Linked DNA regions of Saccharomyces cerevisiae S288C. Each later gene encodes a partner of the first gene's protein in a complex. Each region holds a gene or a part of one and is shown in the gene's direction. Other genes may lie near its edges.

Evidence for each region. Proteins that work in one complex are often made in the same cells at the same time.
Region 2: IES4 (region 1) and IES1 share a complex: the UniProt entries of both Saccharomyces cerevisiae proteins name them as parts of the chromatin-remodeling INO80 complex.

What each region holds. Positions count from the first base shown.
Region 1 is NC_001147.6:687,529-690,569, forward strand, and holds IES4 (Ies4p), read left to right. Parts: upstream 1-2,095; coding exon 2,096-2,446; downstream 2,447-3,041. Other genes in the region: MSB1 (Msb1p), read left to right, coding at 1-1,652.
Region 2 is NC_001138.5:107,206-112,107, reverse strand, and holds IES1 (Ies1p), read left to right. Parts: upstream 1-2,177; coding exon 2,178-4,256; downstream 4,257-4,902. Other genes in the region: YFL012W (uncharacterized protein), read right to left, coding at 1,015-1,461; lipid-binding protein HSP12, read right to left, coding at 4,523-4,852. UniProt on the Saccharomyces cerevisiae protein: Probably involved in transcription regulation via its interaction with the INO80 complex, a chromatin-remodeling complex.

The sequences.
Region 1 (3,041 bases):
CTAGTAGTTCATCATTTGAGGAAAAAAGTAAAGACGCTCCCATCCGCGAAGAATACCATACCAACAAAAATCACAAATCGAAAAAAGAAGAGCGAGTACTATCTCAGTTTAGCACACTTAATCCTGATGAATATCAGTTACCAGTAATAGAGACCGGTTCATCAAACTTTAAGATTGAAATACCGGAATTAATGTACGAACACGATGATGACGACAGTGACAAACTTAAAAATTCCCAGAAAAGAGCTACCGACTCAGCTATTGAAGAATTAAACGGTATGGTTGAAGAAATGATGATTAATGAGCCAGACGATGTAAAAATCTCCATAACTGAGGCAGAGACTTTCGAATCATTGACAAAGTTTGATCAATATAAGCCATCCAATATAACTGACGATGACTTACAAAGCAGCCATTCAAGCGCCGTTCACTCATTGAAGCTAAGTACAAATACAAATGATTCTTGCGCTGATAGTTCCAAATACACCGCTGATAGGAAATTAGCGGAACCTAGAAAGATTTCTGAGGAATCCAAAGTCAACGACGATTCATCATCATATTATTCTCCAAATATCAACAACTTGCCGGCATCAAGAATGCCTAGTCAACCCACTTATTCAAATTCGGATTCGAAAAAGGCATTTACGAATGAGTCTCGCCTGAACGTCTTACAAGGTGCAGTCAGTCCATCTCAACAGGTAACACCAAAACCATATAAAAATGCGCCTGGAGACTGTGTATCTCCTGTTCAGCAAAAATACTATCAGAACGATCGTAGAAATGAAATGTCGCCTGCAAGTGCACCAGTTCCACCTTCTGCATATTCACCTGCGAGGTCTCCACAATTCTCCACCAATTCGGCTGGATTCAAGCAGAACACGATTAATGTACCCGTTGGGTATAATGATCCTGCTCACGTTTTAGCAAATCAACCACATATGACATATCGGGACCAGCATAATTATCCATCTCACCAACAAAAACAACGTCCCTTCCAAAACAATATTGTGCCCCCAGAACTAAAGTCCAGAAATCAACGGGCAGATGCTTCACCTATTCCCCAACATATGGTGCCAGTAAAACAAGGTGTGCCCAATCTTCCATCTAACGTTCCATTATATCAACAAATGGAACGAATGAACCCTAACCACCAGCACCCTGTAAATACTTACAAGGTAACTCAGCCGCCGTATCATAATAACACAACAAATGCTTATGGGAACAGCCGGGCAGGCAATGCTCATATGTTAGATGGAAAGTGGAGCAATAATCCGCCGCAAATGGTACCAAAGGGAGTTCGCCCCAATCAATATCCACAGCAGCACGTTAATAGGTATTCACCGCAAGCTCAACCTGTCGTACCTGCGGAATACTACAATGGACCTCCACCTATGCGAGCACCTCCAATGATGTCCCATATGGTACCAGCTCAGGAGCCGATACGTTACACAGCTGGTGCTAACAGGCGTAGTTTTCCCCAAGGCATGCAGCAGAATGCCTATTCCGTACCCGCTCAGCCTATGGGGGCTGTAAATAGTGAATTTTACCTACCAGAAGCTCCTCAGGGAAACAAACTGCATGGAAATATTAACAAAAGACAGGAGAGAAAGAAGCTATATGATAACATTAGAAGCGGAAATTTCGGCATATAGAAACACTTTGTATCTGAAATTATCATCTTTATGAAATCTCAACAGTTGTAAAATTTCCCGAATATTTATACATATATATGTGTATGTAATTACAAGTATTTAGGACAATAAGGAGAGATTTAAGTCTACTACATAATTTTTAACTCCTACAAATGGCAGGTTACGTTGAGTAAGAATATAACATTTTATTTTCCATATTCAACATCATATGCATTTTATCATCTCATCCTCTTAGTCACTAATTTTTCTAACGCTCATAACAAAAGGTGCGTTACGCCGTCTAGAGCTTTTCTTGAACGTTAAAACTTTACCAAGCAGTTGACGGGTAATCATTCTCATAATCCAAGTAATTTTAAAGATATCAACAAAATGTACTATAATGCCAACACATTCTTTACTTATATTGGCCGGAAGATAAATCCAATTTCTCGAGTAATTGTGGTATGTCCCAAGAAAGTAGTGTTTTATCAGAATCGCAAGAACAACTAGCCAATAACCCTAAAATAGAGGATACAAGCCCTCCCTCTGCCAATTCGAGAGATAATAGCAAACCTGTACTTCCGTGGGATTACAAGAATAAAGCCATAGAGATCAAGAGCTTCAGTGGTTATAAGGTAAATTTCACCGGCTGGATAAGAAGAGACGTAAGAGAAGAACGTCAAAGGGGAAGCGAGTTTACTGCATCTGACGTTAAAGGATCAGATGACAAAGCTACAAGGAAAAAAGAACCAGCAGATGAGGATCCTGAAGTAAAACAACTTGAAAAAGAAGGAGAGGATGGACTGGACTCATAAGGTAATGTCAACAGCTTAAAGTTGTTCTCAGGGCCCCACACTTTCTAGTTTGGCACGTCATTTATGAAATTCACAAATTGGTTACATTAAGTACTAAATCTGGTAGCCGACCAAAAAAGAACAACAAATATACAATTGTATGAGTAAATATGCAATATAAATCAAATGTATTTAGTTAAAGGGCCAGAAGTAAGGCTACAGACTGTAAAAGAAAATTAGATGGAAACCCTCTTCAGGAAAAAAGGACATTATAAAAGATACAGCCAAGAAGTGGGCGTTTATAAAACAATTATATAACATGACCGTCGATTATATTCTGACAGGAATGGCGACGATTGCATCGTTATATTTCATTTCATTCCCAACTCAACGATACTGGTATCAAAAAGCCTCTCTGTTCATTATTTGTCCCACTACAAGCGACTCTCTTATTTTTGGCGGTCTCTGCCAGCTTAAGAAAAAGCGGTTACCAAACGACACTAAAAGAAGCGGCGCGTCTGGTTCATTAGAAATTTGTCAGTAATGCTGTCAATCTTTGTGTAAAAAGTCTTTCCATCAGTTGCCACCCCTTTTGTAGCAACTTCCATGCGTAGAA
Region 2 (4,902 bases), on another chromosome or scaffold:
CAACGGCTACGCCATATCTTTCATAATCAGTCAACTGAGTGTACCCCACATCCGAAACAAAGTATATAACCTTAAAAGTGTCGAAAATAGGTGTCAAATATCGATGAGCACACAAAACCTAGTAGCGGAATTACGACGTCCGTCATTTTCTTAGCGTCGACAAATTTTGATTATACAAAAACAATTCTGAATACTTTGTTAAAAAATACATCCGCTCGATTCAGGGGAGTACAAAAAATAAAAGAAGGCAACTGACAACCCTTGTCAGTCGATAATACAGCGATTAGACTTCTTTCCTTCCTTTTCTACTATAGCTAGCTATAAAGAGCTTGTTTAACAACATATTCAACGCGTTCCGGAGCCGATGAGATGAGGATTGATGACAGTATATGATTTGATAGCGTCACAATAACAGCATCATCACTATAAAGAAACAAAACGAAAAAGGAAACTTAGAGCATTATAGAAAATTAGCTAGTTAATGAAAAATTAAAAATTGAGATTGGTCCTATCATGGCAAGCAAGCTTCCTCTCGTAGTCGCCATCCAGACAGCCGAAATTGATGATACAACGACTGTTTATTTGCGTATGGGATTTCGTGTATACTTCAATGAAAGAAAAAAAAAAAAATATAATAAAACTAATGGTTTTGCAATTTGAAGGGTAAGTTTTTACTGCATATGGCCAAAAAAACTTTTGACTTTTTCATATGTCTATCAAATTATCCATAAGACCATTGCTCATCGAAAGAGATTTCATTTCTTCTCGAAGGCCATTTTTTAATACTCCTTGCAGAATTTTTCCTAATCGTGCATAATCAGTTTTCGTACTTCTCCTCAATGATAACATATTCTTGGAAAGCTGCTTAATGGCGTTTACCAACAATAAATTTATAGACATATACCAAAATCTTCTTTTAGTCCACATATGAACATATTGAAGATATTCTATTGAACAACTTAAAATACTATAAACGCATTCATCTTCTTTTTCTTACTGAGAAATTTTATATTCCTAAAAATTTTGAAATGATCTGAGTTTATTTAGATCTCTTGAACATCCTACAAGAACATTTGAAGGGCAATAATCCTCATCAATACTACTCAATTGTTTTCCATGGGAAAGGATTTCGATCTCTTCCTTTAATATATGTCTTCTAAACCACTTACGTATCCTATCTGTGCTAGAAAGTTTTGTTTTATTCTTCGTATGATCTTCCAATATAAAGTTAGTGTTATTTTCCCACTTCTTGAGGTTACAAACTGGTTCTTTCACTTTCAGCTCCGGATTATTCTGCTTTCTCGTTTCATCCGTTGTTGCGGTAGGTGAATGATTTATTTCAATGACAATGTGTGATACGAGTTCCATTACTTTGATGTAGCCATCATTTTGGAAAGGTGAACTTCCATAAAAAACTGACGAGGAAGACGCAATGGTCCTTTTTGGTCGGGATTTGGGCATCTTTCTATAAGTAGCTAAATTATGGTATTTGATAGCTATATTTGCGACTTATTAGTATTTTGACATTCCATAAAATGCAAAAATTATTTACTATCCTTTTAAATTCAGTTATTATACACGTACATATTTTTTTAAACTGATGCGACAGTTTATCGAGTTTTGTGTCAGAGGACGTGAAAAAATTGCTCTAGTTGAGACCAACATGATTCAGGATGAAAAATTATCCAACGTTCGATTTTCTGGTCTACATGTCATTTGAATAAATTATTTAGCAGACGTTGGATAGAAAGGATTGAAAGATTACATAATGTTATTTCAAAAAAGAGAGAATTGAAATATGCTGGCTGACCTTTACCGAAAACAAGAAGATGAACAGAAGGAAAACCTGAGAGTCGATTGATGTCTCAAAAGACCACTACTGTTATGACACAAAACAATTTAACGACTCTTGATGTAAAGGAACTAAAGCAACACTTTTCTTAACCAAGCCAGTATATATTTTGCAGTATCAGAAATAATCAGACTTTTTTTTTTCTTAGCCCATATTAAGACAATTCTGTAGCATATCGTGTACAACGAAAAACAGGTTACCCTCGAATGCGGTAACGGTACAAGTAAGTAAAGAACGCCCAATGAATGCTGATATGGTATTGGAAACAGTTCATGATTAACTAAGTAAAATCGAAAGCTAAATAAAGGCGACACTCTAATTAAAGATGGGGAAGAGAGTATACGATCCAATTCATGATACTTTCCAACTACGAGAAGACAATTCTGACGAAACAAAAGCAGATTCTCCAATGCAATCTGTAAAATCGGGATCACAAGAAGAAGCATCCCCAAGCTCCATTCAATCAGAGACCGAGACTGTGACTACAAAAAGCATTCCAGTTATACACGAGATTGAAATCGACGATAAAAATGATGATGACTCCACGCAAAGTGAAGAAGAAAATACCAACATCTTGCTCAACTTCGAACCTTCTACAGTGCCTGAAGCAACAGGAGCAAGTACGGCAACGGGGCCAGTGACAACTAACACTGTTAGAAGGAAACCCAAAGAAAGCAATGCCAGTAAATACAATCGTCATTTGAAGAAACCTGACGGCGAGCCATTCAATAGAAAGGACATTCAGTTCAGTTTCATGCAAGAACTGTTGATGGACAAGAGGCAAATCTTCACTAATGTTCTAAAACCCCTATACAAGAACTCTATTGTACCCATTAATATCGATGGCGATAAATTATCAATCAACGTGACCGACAAAGAGTACGATGCAAGGACATTTGTATTTAACGATAAATTGACGTTCGCACAATTGTATGTGTTGACAATAGCCACTTCTATCAAATGTTCCAAAATTCTCAGAGATAAACTATTATTAGACCAACAAGTAGCATTTTCTACTTGTGTTTTAGCGTTATTGGTCAACATTGGTAGGTTGAACACCACTATAAATTTTTATTTAGAAATGACATCGCAATTGAGAACTTTTCACTCCGTGCCAGTTTTACAATTACATGCCAATGATCCGAAACTTTTGCAGGATACACCTAGACTGAAATCTATTCTGAAAAATCTGCCGTGGGGCAATGAGCAACTCTCATTGATGGAGACTTACAAAAAGGTCGACCAAAATGATGGTGAAGTGGACACCGTTAACAAATTTAACATTATTAATATGTTGTTTAGCATATGTGATAATTCCGGCCTAATTGACAAGAGGTTTCTTTCCAAGTATGTGGAAGTCGAATCGAAAGCTCAGGAGCAAGATATGGTAGATGAACAGAATGAAGTAAAAGAAACGGAAGCGGAAAATGAAAAACAAGAATCAAAAGCAGCTTATGCAACAACATTATTTGATATACTGGACTATTCGAAATACGAGCCAAAGGATAGATCAAACATATTGATTTGGCTGCTATATATTCATTTGGAGACAAACTTAAGCCAGGAGGAGGTCGAAGAATCAGTAAGATTTTTCAATGGATTGGAAGATGGTGCACCTGCTGGAAAGTTCATTTTAAGGTGTACGGAACGCAGTTACGACACGGATCCTGAAGATGAATTAGAGTTCGGAGCCAACCAACGCATCAAGAGAAGAGAATTCATGAGTAAGATGGAGGAGGGTAGGAAGCGCGAGCGTACCAATGTTACAGAGGTGAAAAAGCCCAGTATCGGTGGTGACAAGAGTGAAGAGGACGGTGAAGGGGAAGATGACAAGAGCGAGGAGACTGTAGAGGAGACTAGATCACTTTTGACGCCTACGCCCATACTGGAATCTTCTTCACCCATGACATTGAACAGGAAAAAAGTCACACCACAACTGCCCAAAGTAACGCCAGCAGCACCAACAGAAACAGAAGAAGAAATCACCTCCGCTGCTATCATTGACAAAAACGATTTAAATCTAACACCATTGAAAAAATACAATAGTTCGGCTACGGTAAACAAGGTCGACAAGCTAATATCGCTAGATCTGAACAAGCATGTGTCAGAAAATGGTAAGACACAAGAGGAGTTTCTCGCCGATTTGAAAAAATCCCAGGTGCCAAACAGGTTGAAAAGACGCGATATTGGGTTAATCAAGATATTCAATGAATTTGAAGACATCCCCGTAGCGTCAGTGCTTGGGATTCGCGGTAAAAAGAGAAAGAAATTCAAAGATAATTTGCTTGGATTTGAGACGGATTTCATGAAAAATCTCGGCGCTTCAAAGAAAGTACTTTTAAATAAAATCGAACGCGCGGAAATTGATGACGAAGAAGCAACCGCCATGTTTAAGCTGGAGTGAAATAGAACAATACGCACACACACACACACACACATACATACATTTAAGAACATTTTGTAAAGAAAGAGAATTTTTTTTTTTAAAAAAACAGCTAATTTTTAAACTGAACTAGAGTATATGCGTACTTAAGTTTATATATTCCACCTCGATTTAAGCGTTTTTTTTTTAGAATTTTTTTATTACTCTGCTATTCATTGAATATAATATTAAGGAACATCACACATCATAAAGAAAAAACCATGTAACTACAAAGAGTTCCGAAAGATTTACTTCTTGGTTGGGTCTTCTTCACCGTGGACACGACCGGAAACATATTCGACGGCATCGTTCAACTTGGACTTGGCGGCTCCCATGTAATCTCTAGCTTGGTCTGCCAAAGATTCACCTTGACCTTCAGCGTTATCCTTGCCTTTTTCGGCAGAGTCGTGGACACCTTGGAAGACACCCTTGTTGTCTTCTGGTTGAACCTTACCAGCGACCTTGTCGGCCTTGTCAGTGATGTATTCCTTACCTTGTTCAGCGTATGACTTTTGAGAGTCTGGCTTCAAAGCTTCAGAAGCTTTTTCACCGAATCCTTTTCTACCTGCGTCAGACATTGTTGTATTTAGTTTTTTTTGTTTTGAGTTGTTTGTTTGAGATTATCGAA